Oryzias latipes: one gene and its partners. The protein of the gene in region 2 interacts with the protein of the main gene of each other region in a biochemical or structural test. Links are inferred from orthologs where the notes say so. Each region holds a gene or a part of one and is shown on either strand. Other genes may lie near its edges.

Region 1 (4,219 bases), on a different chromosome or scaffold from region 2:
AAGTATGATTTAAAAGGAGGGCGCAACATTAAAATCTTTAAAAATGAAAAGACCATCTAAATGTGACAGAAATCCTTAGTTTCTTACAACCTGCCAAAAGTGTGGGGAGACCGACACATAATACTTAACAAACATTGCTTGGAAGACGAACAACAGTGCAGGCAGCACACGTACTGGGAAACACGCACACACATGCCATGTCCACAGATGGCTGGCATGACTGTGTGCTGCTCTAGTATCATGCTGTTAAATTTGAATCCACAGGACCAAGCAGTGCTTCAGTCCACCAGACTATCTGGAGTCAGGGGGAATATTTCAGAGCCCCTTTATTTAAGTCAGCAAGGGGCAGCACTTTTCCCACCACTAAAATTAGCCTTGGGATATACTTAAGTTGATCCTTCATAGTGCTAACCGAATCATAAAAGTAGGGAACTGTTGAGTTTGCCCAACATTGGATTGTTATGCCCCCAAGATGGTAAAGAACCATGTCTTTGCAATTCACACATTATTTGGAAATCCACATTTGGAAGGATTAAATATAATGTAAATCAATATCTCTAAGTGTTTGTCCACACTGTACTTGTTCTTTGCGTGACTTTGTATTCAAGATCTTATGGAGTTACAGCACGTCTTGAACAAAGCCTGAAGGCTAACCCTTGTAAGCAACACTTTAGTGGTAGTAAATGAAAAGGAGAGTTAGAAAAAACAAATGTGTACTTAATATGTAGCATTGTTCTTTAAATTTTATTGAAACTATTTTTTTTCTGGTAGCAAAAATTCTAAATTATTTGTTATTTACATATTTTATAAAACCCTGTCATTTGCATTTTGCACCAATTACCCCGTTTTAAATAGTATCCTGATGGGTAAGATTACATCTTTGTAAGCTAGACTTATTTAGCAACTTTTTCAGCAGAACTTATGTCACAGAAAAACTATATGGCAATAATCTACATTAAAAAAAAATTCTGACAGATGTTAGTTTTCACAACATCCCAGTTCAGGCATTCAGCTGTTAGTCGGTGTTAGCGTTAAATATAGCACTCACCTTGGTGCTCTGACCTGAACTCTTTGTTTCATTATTCCATTTATGGCTTGTGTTTACATCATTGGTAGAGTTGGGCAACTTTGTGGGGCAACAGGGCGACAAATGAATATGCACATGGGGAGAATAAGAGCTGCTGAGCTTCGGTTTTGAAACGTGACATGAAATTTCGGTGTTAGGGTACGGCACCTCGAGGGAAAAACTCCTTTGCACGGCACGGTGACAGCGACCATCCTCAGACCAGTCTTGGCCATTCCCCGTTAAACAAGGCTTCCTTTTGGGCGATGGTTTTGTAGAAGGAAACAAACAAGCAGAGGTACTGCGATACAGTTTTTTTTTCCCATCATGTACATGCTCAGCACGATTAGTAGGGTGATGAGCCTCTGGATATTCCACATTTGCATCCTTACTGAGAGCTGCCTTTGTCGAGCCCTGTGGACTGTGGGGGGTAAAATGCAGCAGCAAACTACTTGAGTGACGATTAGACCTGTCTGGAGCTGATGAAACTTCTGCCCCTGCATTCCTGCTCTCAGCTTTGGACTGCTGTTTATCCTGTACAGGCAGATTAAAGTGCACCGTGTGTTTCGAGTCCTCAGCTGCTGAACAGTTTCCTCTTGGCTGACTTTGGCAACTGACTGCAGCTGTGGTGGACCCTTTGTAACTTACTTCCTCGTCGTCTTGTGAAAATGTATTGGTAGATGACTGAGGAGTTGAATGACTAGATCCTCTTGCTGGCAGGAGAGGTGGCAAAGCTCCTGAACTCACTGGGGAGGCAGGTGGAGTGCTGCAGGGGCTTTTTGGAAATATAACCAAAGACGAGCACCTCCGCAGTGGGACTCTGGTTCTCCAGGAGAGTCGAGTTCTCTCGTGGTTGGTCTTGTGCTTTTCTGGAGGCTCCGGTTCAAAGATGCTGTTGCTGCTGCAGTAACCAGCATCACTTGCCATGCTGCTGTGGCACGACCCTCCGCCGCCTTCATTAACCCCAGGGTCTCCATCCTCTATGCTGCCATCCTGCTCTCCACTGAGCTGTCCACAGGGCTGCAGTGAGATTTGTAGAACGCTCTTCGTATTACACCCTCCAGTGTTAACTCTCGGTATGAAAACTGAAGAGTATTGACTGTTGGCAAAGTCTGGTGACAGAGGAGTCACCTTCAAGTGGACAGAACTGTGCGCCAGACTCTGTGTGGGACTACGTACAGACGCACCAACTCCGCTCTCCTCATCGTGGCTGCTCGGGCTTTGTGACAGGGGGTCCGTGTTGCTTCTCCTTGACGCGAAATGCAAGCGGAGCCGACGCGCCATTTGTTTAACTCCCTAATCCCTGCAGCGCCTGTAAGAGCAGCATGATCACACTTGCTGGTAGGAAAAAGAAGCAAGTAAAGCAACTGCTGCGCACTCCGCTGTGATCACAATCATTAGCGACTGGACATTGCCAAAATAGCTCTGGTGACAACCTACATTCCTCTCCAGGCTCATCTCAGCTTTAAGTCAGAAGGGGCCAGTGGTTCTGTTTGGATACTTGACCCAAATGAACAATTTTAAAACCAGAGCAGACCCCCTAACAGAAAACAAAGTTACAGTAAAACACAAGTAATTATGCCATTATCGAAAGTCTGCCCTCTCGATCTTATTCAATCTTGTTTACTCTTTTAAAAAGAAAGAAAAACCAGCTTGAAGAAGGCAGACTTACGCTGAATGTCTAGTGAACTGTTACATCTGCTTTGGCTCACTCACTCAGGACTGCACTTCCTGTGACTGCAGTTCATCTAATGTTTCGCTGCTCCTTCCTCCAACAAATATTTTTACCTTCTACTATTGAATTACAGGAAATTACAGGAAATCAAAATGAAAGACTTTCAACATAATTCTGAATCAAACTGAAGCTCAAGTTGAAGAAATAGATCATTTGGATTGTAAGACAGATTTAAAGCTGCACAACAGCATTAATGCTGAGACTTCCAAAGTGATAAACTAGAATGCTAAATTACTTGTTTTGAGCAGGGATCCAACAAACTGCTAAACACTGAGCTAAAGGATATTTCTTTTAAAATAAAAACTATAATAACTGTGACATTACCGTCACACGACACTGGTTATATGACTCCGCATGTAACAGCCAGTTGCTGCTCTGATTTCTTTTCCATGGCTGTTGACAGTCCAGTTTATTAATGGAAGCTTATTGTTAGCTAGGCTGGTCTATTTCCGATAATTACTCTGCTTTCCAATACAGAGCGGTGGTAATGTTTAATATTAAGAAGCAAAGCTAGGATAATGACATGACTCACGAGCAGACACTTTTTTTCCTGCTCACTTTCATGGTGGAACAATGTCTCACATGACCAGTGAACCACATGACTGCAGATGAGTCACTCCCCAGAACTGATAGAGGAGAGTGATGGTGATAGGTCAGCCATAAGATAAGATGTATGACTAACACCACACACATATTTGTCAATCTACACAACTGTATCATGATGTAATATATTAATACAATGAAGGAGCTTTGCCGGATCTCATGTTCCATGACGCAGAAGTAAACAAGGTCATATTTACTCAACATTTAAGAGTGCAAGATATTGTTGCTACAAATGGAAACTCTGAGATAAGATCTGAGGAGAATTTGAAGAGGTAAAATAGGAGTCAGTCTAAATCTTAACTATTTTACTTTACAGTAAACCAACCAATCTAGCTCTGAAATAAATCAAACTGCTCCAACTGGATGTATCAGTGAGACTGAAATTGAGCAGTAATACAAAATTAAATCGAGCGGAGAAACACTAACATGTATGGAATGGAACCTACCAGGAATGGACAATGTCACATCACTGATTTAGCCAAATATTTATAATTTTATTTTTTTTACAATATTTAATACTGACTTCTTTAAAGTTGGAAAAATCGTTAGCAGAATCAGGTTGCGCGTATCAAAAGTGAACAGAAAATCAAAACTTGTAGTCTGCAGATGGTACCTATTAGATAAAAACCAATTACAGCATAAACATAGACTATCAAATTCTAAGGAATCATTCTAAGCAATTGCCATGGACACATGTTTTTGATAAAACATAGAAGTTTGATGTTTGAGTCACCACTTCATCCAGGATCCAGGAAATCTTTCAGTTCTCGATCTAAATGGAGCAAGACAATCTTCTGTTCTAAAGAGCCTTGTGGTTA
Region 2 (3,549 bases):
TGACAGAACAGACGTGACGTCTCGGCGATAAATCCACTGACAGATGTTAGAGTCCAGTGAAGTGGTGCTGGTTCTGATGGACTCTACCGACACAGTGACCCGGTTTGGGTTTAAGGAGGAGTCACTGATGGGGTTCTGATGACCATTTCTGTTCTGGACCTCTCAGCTGATCCAGTCAAACTCAGAACACAGACCAGGTTCTAGAGCCCCCCCCCCCCCCCGGGTGTGTGTGTGGGGGGGGGGGGGGGTGTTCTGTCTGGGCTGGAGGTCTCCGTTCCCCTCTTCTTGGAGCTAGACATTTACTCCGATTACTTTGTCAGGAACTGAAACGCGTTTGAGGCTGAAGAGTTCCGACCCGACCCGACCCGTCGCAGCGATCAAAGACCTTCCTTCATCCAGGAAATGATCTGAACAAACACGGCTCCATCCTCAGCTCCACATTCTGGAACACAGCCGGTTCTTTTCCATCAACCCTCACATTTACAGACGGACCTGAACGCAGCGCAGACCGGACGCCGTCTGTTCAGGTGAAGGAAAGTCCTGCAGACGCCTCACTGCTCAACATTTATTGCTTCATCTTTAAAAGTCCACAGAAACGTCAGTTTATAAAAATATTTTCTATTTACAGCAGATTCACAGCGGAAGTCCGTAAAAGTGCGGCGGCGGCGTCAGCGTCCGAACATCTCCTGCGAGGCGTAGGTCATGTAGAGGAAGCCGTCCTCGTCCTGGTGGTCCTTGTAGACCTGGGCCATGGTGAGGGACATGCTGGGCAGCCCGCTGCTGTTGATGAGCAGGTAGAAGGCCTGGCTGGGCAGCAGCGCCATCCGGTTCCTGCAGAGGGAGGGGCGTCAATGTGCAGCTGTTCCAGCATACTGGATTCTGTTGACATCTGAAAACAGATTAAAAAGCTTCCAGGTCCACAGCGCCACCTGCTGACCAGTCATTTCCTCACATCTGATGCTGAATGAGGACAGGAAGACATTTTATTCTGAAAAGCTGATTTCCTCCATGAAGCCCAAATTCTGGATGGAACTCCAACAGATCCGCAGTTTGATCAAAACGGTCAGAAATCTGCTCTTCAGATCCACCCCAGAACTTCCCAGATCCTCGTTTTTCAGGGCTCTGCAGGACAGAACCGGACTTTGGACTTTAATCTGCTAATCCATAATCTGGTGTCAGATTACAGCGGCTGAAGGAGCAAACAGACGGCAGCTGGAAGTCAGATCAGAAGTGTCTGCAGGTTTCAGAAACTCAGGAGGAAGAAGAGGAGGAGGAAGAGGAGGAAGAAGAAGAGGAGGAAGATCTGGACATCTGTCACCAAAACTTTTCAGAGAAGAACTGAACCCAAAGTTCTGATCCACACAACGGAAGACTTTCAGAACCGACTCAGCAGTCAGAACTTGGATGAAGAAGACTGAGCAGCTCATCTGGGTTCTGGATACCCCCACCCCCTCTAAAAGGTTTCTAAGGAGCGCGTGCCTGCAGTGTCACGTGATGTGTCTCCTTCAGGAACAAACAAAGCTGACCCATTTATGAAGAAAGATAATTGATCTTTTAAAACAGCCTAGAGCACGCGCGCACGCACGGCGCGCTCTCTACAGACTCACCTGATGATGGTGACGAACTGCGTCATGGTGAGCTCGTGCGGCACCAGAAACTTAGTCTTATCAAGGGGGGGCAGGAACCTCTCCTTGTCGTAGCGCTCGATGATGACCTGGGGGGGCGCAGCAGCTGATTGAGTGGGAACGAACAAACACCTTTGCGCGTGACGGCCGCCTACTTACCGGGATCTTGTTCGGAAATTTGGATTTAATTCCCGCCACCTCTTGTTTCCGCGTGGCTGCGCGCACGACACAAACGGAGCGTTACGTTAGTGGCAAACTGTGGCGCGTGCGTGAACGCGCGAGGCCTTACCAAAGCTCTTCCTCTGTTTGAAAGGTTTGCTCTGCGGAGGGATCTTCTCCAGCGGAGGCATGATGGAGCGCCGGGTCGGAGACAGCGCGCGGACGAGCCCGCGTGGGGCTTAAATACGGGCGGCTGGAACACATCAGCTGATTGCCGCGTGTCCACGGGGTGGGCGTGGTCAATACGGGTCTCTGATCAGCCGGAGGTGGGGGGGTCCTCACTGTTTGAGAGACCTTTATGAACGTGAGGTGATCAAAGTGAAAAGCCAGGTCACGTGCGCGCAGGTCCAAGCTGGGATGACCTCTACAAGGTCACGTGCTTTACTCTCCTTATTTACACACACACACACACACACGCACACACACGCATACACACACACACGCATACAACAATACACACATGTAACCACACACAATTGCTGATTTAATTTTAAACCAAACTTATGATTCAAAATATTCTCACAAAAACATCACAGACAGAATTGTTCTTCATCATCTTCATCCTCAGAGTTCAGTTCTGTTTAAATGAAGTCCGTTCTTTGAAATTTTCATTGTTGTTGATCTTCGTTTCAACTCTCAGAATGATCTGGATTTCCATCAGTCAAAGACAGGAAAGTGCAGACAGTCAGCTGGCGGGTCAGTGACGTCATGGCGCAGGTAAGAAAAGTCCAAACATGTTATTATTAGTACTTTCAAAATAAAAGTATCCTTTCTCATTGTGACTATATCTTCCAGAGGTTTGCGTACAAATGAACCTGAATGGCGTTGGGGGGGTCAACTGGTGCTGGTGACGTTTATAAAGTTTTATTTACCTTCACAGGTTTAGTCTTTGCATTCTGGGAATATTTTGTCTAAAAAACAGATTTTACAGACTGCATCCACATAGAAGCCTTATACCTCCTCAAGTTTATTTATTCATTTTGTTCATTTCATCCTGTTGAGTCTTCAAACCCCCACTCTGCTACTGGTCTATGGGGAGGGGTCAGAATACCCCCCCCCCCCCAACAGATGTCTTTGAAAATATAAAATTCATACCAATACAAGAATAAATACAGTTCTGAATACGAGTAAACACTGTTTTTAACTTTTGAAATATTATATTTATAAGCTATTGAGAGCAAAAAATAAGTAATATAAATTATTTACACAAACTTGAGACATAGAATACCGAATAAAACATTAGGGAGCGTTATTGTTTGGAAACCTTTCATTTCATTGATGGTATTTTATTTTGACAGTGCAAAGCGGTTGTGACGTAGCATCCGTCTGACAGGCTGCGGGACTGCGTGGTCCACAGCTCGCGCGCGGTTCTGGATGGATTTTCCTCCGCGGAGGATTTTCGAGCGACGCGGCTGACCCACCGGACCGAACCAGCGGCTCCGTGGTCCCGCCATGATGGACGAGCACGCGGGCCCCGGGGTGTTCCTGAGCGGCGGCGGTTCGGGCTCGGCTCCGCATCTGGGCTCCGTGAGCGGCGGAGAGGCGGCCCGCGCGCGGTACAGCGTCCCAGGAATCCTGCACTTCCTGCAGCACGAGTGGGCGCGCTTCGAGGTGGAGCGCGCGCACTGGGAGGTGGAGCGCGCCAAGCTGCAGGTGAGACCCGCGCGGTTCCGATAATGTGTCCAATTGGACGCTGGCATGGGCA
Region 3 (4,469 bases), on a different chromosome or scaffold from region 2:
CCCGCCTGAACCAAGGACAGCCCTTCAGCTGCAGGTATAGGCTGCAAGGAAACAGCTGGAGCAGCAGGAAGGAGTCCAGCTTCCTGCTCAATCACAGCCCTTTCCCACTTTTTCTGCCGGCTGGAGAACTTGAAGACACAGAGTATGCTGGTCCCAGGATGCTGGGATTTAGGAAAAGATACAACATCAGACCGAAGAAGTTAAAGGCTCTCACAACTGTGAGCAGAAAGTGAAAGTTTCAAAATTTAAAAGCGCATCTTTTAATAAAAACACAAACATTCAACATCGTTTCAGCACTTAAAACCATCGATTTCTCGTTAAATCAAAGGAAAAACAGCACTTACGTCCAACCAGGAAGACGGCAGTCATGACAGTAAAAGAAGGGGGGCGGGGGCGAGAAATTGGAACAAATCCAGCTCTCTGATTGGACCCCCAAAGTTTCAGAGTTGAAATTGGAACGAATCAGGCCATTTGATTGGTTGAGAAGTTGGAACATTTGGAACATGTAATGAAAACATGATGAGTTTGAACCAAAAATACGTCAGCTGCCCTGGACACGGCATCTCTGGTGCAGCAGTCGCGGTCCACATAGATCAGCTGGGGGGAGGAATCTTGGTGAATTGACACGGCCTCATAAGCACAGTCGCCATCCTAAACAGACCCTCGTGTTGTAGCCATAAACCGTGAGCAGTCAGAAAGGCAATGGAAGAACGGGCATAGGTGGAGGTGATAGAAATTGCTCCCTCTCATTGCTTCAAGCCAGGAACGACTCACAGTGAGTTAGTTAGTGAATCCTTCTTCCATCAGCAAGAGCACTAAAGATGAAAGGGGGCTGGGTCTTTTAGCATGACAACGATCCCAAACACACTGCCCGGATAAAAAAGGAGTAGCTTCTTAACAGCAGTTCAAGGTCCTGGTTTGGCCTAGCCTGTCAGATCGCAACCCCCATAGAAAATCTTTAAAGGGGAATGGGCTAAAATACCAACAACAGTTTGTGAAACCCTTGTGAAGACTTACAGAAAACGTTTGACTGCTGTCATTACCAAAAGAGGGTATGTAACAAAGCATTGAGTTGAACTTTCCTTAATTGTTTTTTCTCATTTAGTCTCTCATAGTTGAGGTATCCCTGTGATGAAAGTTACAGGTCTTTCTAATCTTTTTAAGTGGGAAAACTTGCACAAGTGGTGGCTGACTTTTTTGCCCCACTGTATCGGAATAAATTGATATAATATAGGCCCTTTTATGGGAAAGAAATGTCTAAATGTGGTGAAACTGAGACATAATTTTCCTGAGGTTAATTTTTACATTCGGCGCCCCATACCCTTTAAATGAATCCCAATAAAATCTAAAATTAGTACATACTATTCCTCGGACATAAATCAATTCTTTGTTTCCAAAATAATGCCAGTGTAACGTGAAAACATTTATATAACTTTAAAATTACATCTTTAAAAATTAAACAAAAAATTACAGTGCAATTTGAGTTTGTTGTTGAAGTTGTTGTTTTTTTGCTGTCATTTCTTTCATAAAAAACACAGGCCACGTTTTCCCGACTTTGTAGGTAACCCTTGAAGCCGCGAGGTGGCGGTAATGCGTTAGATCTTTTGTGCATTGCCCTCACTAGATTCCACGAAGAAGATGAAGCGCCCATCTCAGCTGGCCCTCTGCTAGTTTCTGACAACAACGCGTCTTGTCTGCCGACAATGTTCACACGTTCGTTCCATAGTGACAAAACGGCAATCTTTTTTAAAAGCGCTCCTTAAATTTACGTTTTCGAGTTGATTCATGATGGAGCCAACCGCGCCTAAAAGGTTTGTAAAGATTCCAATTGTTCAAACTTTAGCATAATCGGATGCTAGCTGAGCCCCTACTAGCTAATGCTAAGCTAACTCATTTAGTCGTTAAACTCCAGTGGTTTTGTTTGAAACTTTCTATTTACATGGATATAGGCCCTACTATTCTGTACTTCCTCACTTCAAAATTGACGTTGAAATTTCGAAACGGTGACACATTTTTAATCACAATTTTAAGGAACAACAAAAAAGTGTACATTTTATAAAACGTCTTGCCTTTTGTCCCTACAGGCAAATTTAATGTATTTAAAACGTGCGCGTACAGCAATTAAAATAACGAAAACAGTAGCAAATTTTATTTACAAAATGTAATTTAATTTATTGCGTTCTTCAAAACCAGTTAAGTATTATTTTGTTATGCAATTACATCATAAGCATATAATGTACTTTTCTGTTTGGCATTATATTTTAATTTTAAATACATTTGAAACTTTAACATGTTCATAACCTAATATTTATAGAAATATTTTCTATCTGCTGTTTTTATTAGAGCTATAGTAACAAGGTAATTTCCAATTTTTGTATCAATAAAGTTTAATTCAGTTGTATTTTGTTGTATCATATACAGTACAATACATAAATCAGACTTTGCACACACAATTGGCTTTTTTATTTGGTTGCTTTGTTGGTTTTCCTCATTTTATTGAATTTTATATTTGAAATTAAATGTGAATTTTACTAATACAGTATCATTGTGTTGACAAAATAAGTTAGGTTTTAATACTTTTTATGGTTGACAGTAATCCTGAGTGAGTGAAACTACATCTTCTTAAAACCTTTTCACATGACGAGCAAAAACCCACAGGGCCTTAATCAAGTAACATGAAGTCACTTCCTGGTCATTTTTGAAAGCCGTTTCATTGGAGGATTTCTAGTTGTGCTGTTTTTAAGCCTGTTATTGAAAAACTAAGAAAACACTTCAAGTCTTAACTATTGTGTTGAAATCCATACTGATAGCAATAAACAATTAACAAATCTGTCTTTTTTGGTAGACATTTTATTTGTTTCTTGCTCTCTGTTAAATATGGTAATCAAAGCAAAATTAATTAAAACGTATTTATATTAATTGAGTAAATAAATCTCATATTGTTCCCTCTGCATTACCTAAAACTATCTGGGCTATTTATTATTTATATTGTCTATTGATGTCAATAATAAGATGACTTTCTTTAAACTGCAGCAAGCTGAAAAAGCTGAGCGAGGACAGCTTGACAAAACAGCCAGAGGAAGTGTTTGATGTATTAGAAAAACTTGGTGAAGGGTAAGAACTTTGATTCCTTTTTTCTTTTCATCCTGTACTTTCCTTTTTTACAGTTGATTGTTGTGTTATACATTGGTTTTGCGCACCCTGGTGTGGTGTGTGACTAGCTTTGGTGTGTGCTTAGTTCCTATGGCAGTGTCTTTAAAGCCATTCATAAAGAGTCAGGACAGGTTGTGGCCATCAAGCAGGTTCCAGTGGAGTCAGATCTACAGGAAATCATCAAAGAGATCTCCATCATGCAGCAGTGTGACAGGTGAGAATTCCAGATGTCTCTGCAAATGCTTATCCGTGTCATGTGGAGTACATTAGATGATCAAAACTATCCAAAGAATTAGTCAAACTCAAGCTCCTCTGCACTCTGATGTTTGCAGGAATACTTCCCTTTTTTTGAGGTTTAAATACAAACTTTGCTCTGAACCTCTTTCCAGCCCTTATGTAGTGAAATACTATGGCAGCTACTTCAAAAACACAGACCTTTGGATTGTCATGGAGTACTGCGGAGCTGGATCCGTTTCTGACATAATCAGACTCCGCAACAAGACGGTGAGCCTTTTAAGTTTATGGTTAGAATGTGTTGTAAGATTGATCTGTTAGATTTCTTCCCTACTTGAAAAGAAACACTTAAAAGAAGCAGAAATAATCCAATTTTGACTACAGTTAGTCTATTTGGGCTGAAGAAATAATGTATTTATTTATGACTACCCTGATCTTTTATTAACACCAAGGTTTATCTCGCCCTGCCCTTTTTTGTTTTGTTTTTGCTTTGCTTTCATGGTCCAGCTGACAGAAGATGAGATTGCCACCATCCTTAAATCAACCCTGAAGGGTCTTGAATACCTTCACTTCATGAGGAAGATTCATCGTGACATCAAGGCTGGAAACATCCTTCTCAACACTGAGGGTCACGCGAAACTGGCAGATTTTGGAGTAGCAGGACAGTTGACGGTAAACAAGAAGAAATGATCCACTTATGTTTATTTGATTTGTGTAACTTGGTCTGGAATTTTTTTTTTTGATCCACACAAATCATACTTAGATCTATTTTAAACATGCTCCCAATAACGATAAAACTGTTTTCAGCCAGCCAAAATCCAAAAACCTGTGTCATTTCCTAGGACACAGGAAATTCACCTCTGAGTTGCAGCGTGGAGCAACGCCCCCATTCCCCATCACCCATATCTGAGAGCTGTTTGTACTCTCCCTTTTGCTTACACCTCCTCACACCCCTAACCTAACATTATCGCTGCAACAAAAATAGCGAGCAATATTGGAACAATCCAACCGGACCAGTTTTGATCTAGATGCCAGCTCAGACGAGGAATACGAAGACGTTCGTGGATGTAGTCGTCTACAAG
Region 4 (4,210 bases), on a different chromosome or scaffold from region 2:
TTAAGATTTGAAGAGAAGACCTAAAGGTGGACAGAATATCAGGAGATTTCCTCATAAACATTGACTATGAATTTATCATTACTGGTAGTTTACAGATGTAATCCATTTACTACACTTCTGAAAATTGTTTTTCTTTTTTTCCCTCTGAATAGGAAAAATAACTGAAGAATTTTAGACATCAACTCCCTCTCAGTGATCCAGGACAAATAATGGTAGACATGAAAAATGCTTACAGTTAACTAATCATGAGTATTTACTAGAATACAATATATTAGTCTTCATGCAGCTATTTTAACCTTCCATTAGGTCTCTTTGGCTTTAAACAAAAAACCCTGATGATTTCAATAAACAATGGCGTTGTAGTTTTGGTTTATTTATTTAAGTAAAGTTGTATCTTAGGTTTAGATTGTTCACTTGTCTTCGATGTTATAAGGCCTGATTATTTATTATTATTTTCTTGTGACAAACTTTTTTCCTTTTGACTTGGAAGTAATCTCTAAAACAATAATAATTTTAAAGAATAAATATTACATTATAACATTAACAAGAATAACATAAAAATGTAGGCTCCTCCTTGAACAGCTGAGAAAAAATGAATTACAAATTTCAAAAACATATAACGTTTTTTTTCTCCAAAAGAAAAAATCTAATGAAGTTTAACTGTTTTAAGGAAAAAAATTCCAATGTTAAATGAATTATTTATTTAAAATAACTGACATTTTATGGTTAGTTACTAATTTCTCTTTAATGAACTTCCATAGTTTTAAATTGAAAAGATTAAATTTTTTCCCTTGTTTAGTCTGAAACACTAAAAGTACTGAAGCAGTCTAGAACTTTCCTACTAATTCTAGAAGGATCCATTCCGATGGGCCACAGGTTTGATAAACACAGGAGGACGTCTCTAGGCGATTCATCGTTTCCGTGTTTTCATGGCCGCAGTCTGCCTTCTCACGGTGACTCCGCGATGTGTGTGAACTGTCTGCTGGGATCCTGATCACGTGACACACAAGACGGCCTCTGATTGGACCTCTGGAACCGGCGTTCCTTTTACACGGACCAATCCGCGGCTGCGCAACTGTTAACAGAATCACGTCACCTGCGGAAGTAAACATAAAAGAGGCTGAAATTTATCGCTGCGTCACAAACTGGGATTTTTCTTGGACTGTTCAAGTGACGGTTTTGCGTCTGTGTCTCGGTCCTGCTCCCGGTGTCAGAACTTTGTGGTTCGGAGTCCACAGCAGCAGCAGCATGTCTGTGACGGTGAAGGCTTACCTTCTGGGGAAGGACGAGCATGTGAAGGAGATCCGCCGCTTCGCGGTGGACCAGGACGTGTCCTGCAACTTCGAATATCTCAGCAAGAAAACCGCGGCGGTCTTCTCCAACCTGATGAACTCCTCCTTCAACCTCTTCTACAAAGGTGAGCCGCATGGGCCGGGTCAGACAGAGCCGGGATCCGCTGGGTCTGATCGGAACCGTCATACTCACTAACCTGGAACCGAACTTTTTGTCAATACTTTATTAAACAGCCGCAGTAACGCGGAAGACCAACTTAGAGAAACATTCGAGTATATAGAAGGACTGTAGACATTTGAATCTGTACAAACATAATCCGCCCACTGACTTATTTAAGAAACAGCTAATTTAAAGGGATTGCTGTCACGTGACGCATGTAGCCACGCCCACAAATTTCTGTCCTTTGATTTGTGCGCAATTGAAAATATTCAGTTGATCAGGAGGCCCGAAGTTTAGACCCCCCCCCCCCCCCCACACCCACACACAAACACAGGCGGAGTAGGTGGGACCTTATGACGTAGAGGGGAGGAGCTTCAGGTGTGATTCCGGTTTATATTTCAGATGAGGATGGAGATTTGGTGGCCTTTTCTTCTGATGATGAGCTGATGATGGGCCTGGGCTGCGTGAAGGACTCCACCTTCCGCCTCTACATCAAAGGTAAATGCACGGCCTCCTGTGTGAGATCAGAGTGACCTCCCAGCAGTCCTCCCTCACGGTTTTTTTTTTTTTTTTCTTCCTGAACTCTGACAGAGAAGAAGGAGCACCGCCGTGATTTCCCACTGCATGCCCTACCCCCTTTCATGTTTGGACACCCACCACCCCATGGCCCCCCTCATGCTCCACATCACGGCCCTCCCCCCGCCCTGCACCCTAACGTCACCTGTGACGGCTGTGAAGGGCCGGTTGTGGGAATGCGGTTCAAGTGCTCCGTTTGTCCCGACTACGACCTTTGCTCCACCTGCCAGGCTCAAGGGAAGCACACTGAGCACGCTTTGCTGCCCATCTGGCACCCCCTGCAGGTGAGTTACTCCATCTAACCATCTAATCGTCTTTCCACTTCTGTCTGGACATCGTGCTGATTTAAAAGAAAGGACTTTTTGGTCAAAGCCAAAATGCACTGACTGAACCAGAAACTGTGTCTGCAGTGGTTTCCCCGTGGAAAGTGGATGAAGAGAATGAGACACTGCATGTGGAACCAGAACCAGAATCAAAACCAAAACCCAGAGCAGCAGGAACAGCAGGACCAGCCAAGGCCATCAGCATCTTCGGGTGACGGTGGAGAACCATCAGGTGAGAGAAACTCAAAAAACGTTTGAGCCTAGGGCATTAACATGCTCCCACCTTAACCTCTGACCTCTGCAGCTTCCCAGGCTAGTGTGGACTTCCTGAAGAACATTGGGGAGGGGGTTGCCGCCATGTTGAGCCCCCTGGGTGAGTGTACATAGTGGAGTTGCTGTTTTTGGGGGACAGGCAGGAAGTGATGTCATGATTTCCATGCAGGAATCGACGTGGACATTGATGTTGAGCATGACGGGCAGAGGTCGAAGGTGAATCCACCCACTCAGGCTGGAGGGGGGGATGACAATGTGGCAATGGATGTAAACGAAGGGGAGTCTGCAACTGCTGAGAGGTCAAAGGTCAGTCTGTGTTCACTGATCAATGACTGAAATGAACGTGTCAACAACTGACCCTCGTCCCCACGTACACGCAGGCAAGCCGGGACTCTGACGAGGAGTGGACTCACCTGAGCTCCAAAGAGGTGGACCCGTCCACGGGGGAGCTGCAATCCTTAGACCCCAAGAACCACGAGTGCGAGCTGCCGTCGGGAGGGCAGCAGGGGCCCCCGTCGGGAGGGCAGCAGCCGTCGGTAGGGCAGCAGGGGCCCCCGTCGGGAGGGAAGCAGGGGCCCCCGTCGGGAGGGCAGCAGGGGCCAACAGGTCTGCGGGAGGCTGCGCTGTACCCCCACCTGCCTCAAGGTGAGTCTAGTTCTCACAAGTATCATTTGCTATGACTGTTGCCCTCTTGTAAGCTCCTCCCTCTGCCCCCCACAGAGGCGGACCCCCACTTGGTGGAGTCTCTGGCTCAGATGCTGTCGATGGGCTTCACTGATGAGGGGGGCTGGCTCACCAGACTCCTCCAGGCCAAAAACTTTGACATTGGAGCGGCTCTGGACGCCATCCAGTACGCCAAGCAGCCCCGCCCACCACAGTGACCGCACCAGCTGCTTTATTTAACCTGAGTTTCTATCTGTTCAACTGTTAATCAACTCCTTAACCTGTTTCTGTCTTTTATTAATCTGTTTCTGAACAATAAAAACATGAAGGAATCCGAGTGGGTGGAGTCTTGATACACACCTGTACTGCCAAGTGCACAGCAGGCTGCTTTTGAGAACCAAAACAGTCCAAATGAAACACTAAATGTAATTTTATATCACCTGTTTCCACGGCAACACCTCCACCAGCAGCACACTTGAACCAGACTACACATAGGAGCTGCTAGAAGTCAATACTGAAGTCTTCCTCAGTTTCGAACAGGGAGGAAACACTGAGTCCTGGGTGGGGCATGTTGGGGGCTTGACTCCGCCCACAAGCTGGAGGCTCCTCCTCTTGGATTTCGGAATCAGATTTGAGAGAGCAGGCTGAGCTAAAGGCGCGGGGATGGAAGTGAGCTTCATCAGCAGAACGTCTCATTGCTGGACCAATCAGCTGCAGATAAAGAACACAGTAGTGAAAGTTGGATGACAGAAACACCAGAACCTGAAGAGAGAACTGTTTCACTCAAAGTGACCACGTGCTAAACAGCAGCCTGATCTCTCATATTGAAAGAAAAATTCTCATTCAACAACAATCCATGAACTTTCCTTGAACTAAAAAAGGTATTTGACACAAACCCCAATATTTTCCTTGAACTCAAATAT

Evidence for each region.
Region 1: the proteins of map1lc3c (region 2) and nedd4 form a complex in vitro, tested with the Homo sapiens proteins (2 studies listed by BioGRID and IntAct). The link is inferred for Oryzias latipes from reciprocal best matches to the Homo sapiens genes MAP1LC3C and NEDD4.
Region 3: the proteins of map1lc3c (region 2) and serine/threonine-protein kinase 3 form a complex in vitro, tested with the Homo sapiens proteins (2 studies listed by BioGRID and IntAct). The link is inferred for Oryzias latipes from reciprocal best matches to the Homo sapiens genes MAP1LC3C and STK3.
Region 4: the proteins of map1lc3c (region 2) and sqstm1 form a complex in vitro, tested with the Homo sapiens proteins (6 studies listed by BioGRID and IntAct, with this or other methods). The link is inferred for Oryzias latipes from reciprocal best matches to the Homo sapiens genes MAP1LC3C and SQSTM1.

What each region holds. Positions count from the first base shown.
Region 1 is NC_019861.2:21,567,062-21,571,280, reverse strand, and holds the start of nedd4 (E3 ubiquitin-protein ligase NEDD4), read right to left. Parts: upstream 2,930-4,219; 5' UTR 2,348-2,929; coding exon 1,049-2,347; intron 1-1,048. UniProt on the Homo sapiens protein: E3 ubiquitin-protein ligase which accepts ubiquitin from an E2 ubiquitin-conjugating enzyme in the form of a thioester and then directly transfers the ubiquitin to targeted substrates. Specifically ubiquitinates 'Lys-63' in target proteins.
Region 2 is NC_019859.2:738,179-741,727, forward strand, and holds map1lc3c (microtubule-associated proteins 1A/1B light chain 3C), read right to left. Parts: upstream 2,065-3,549; 5' UTR 1,976-2,064; coding exon 1,915-1,975; intron 1,841-1,914; coding exon 1,785-1,840; intron 1,715-1,784; coding exon 1,608-1,714; intron 832-1,607; coding exon 669-831; 3' UTR 552-668; downstream 1-551.
Region 3 is NC_019869.2:24,049,856-24,054,324, reverse strand, and holds the start of serine/threonine-protein kinase 3, read left to right. Parts: upstream 1-1,625; 5' UTR 1,626-1,785; coding exon 1,786-1,811; intron 1,812-3,033; coding exon 3,034-3,114; intron 3,115-3,238; coding exon 3,239-3,367; intron 3,368-3,542; coding exon 3,543-3,657; intron 3,658-3,894; coding exon 3,895-4,059; intron 4,060-4,469. UniProt on the Homo sapiens protein: Stress-activated, pro-apoptotic kinase which, following caspase-cleavage, enters the nucleus and induces chromatin condensation followed by internucleosomal DNA fragmentation.
Region 4 is NC_019868.2:3,816,700-3,820,909, reverse strand, and holds sqstm1 (sequestosome-1), read left to right. Parts: upstream 1-1,248; coding exon 1,249-1,417; intron 1,418-1,854; coding exon 1,855-1,950; intron 1,951-2,043; coding exon 2,044-2,312; intron 2,313-2,438; coding exon 2,439-2,583; intron 2,584-2,655; coding exon 2,656-2,724; intron 2,725-2,793; coding exon 2,794-2,930; intron 2,931-3,004; coding exon 3,005-3,269; intron 3,270-3,344; coding exon 3,345-3,505; 3' UTR 3,506-3,619; downstream 3,620-4,210. Other genes in the region: mrnip (MRN complex-interacting protein), read right to left, coding at 3,789-3,998. UniProt on the Homo sapiens protein: Molecular adapter required for selective macroautophagy (aggrephagy) by acting as a bridge between polyubiquitinated proteins and autophagosomes.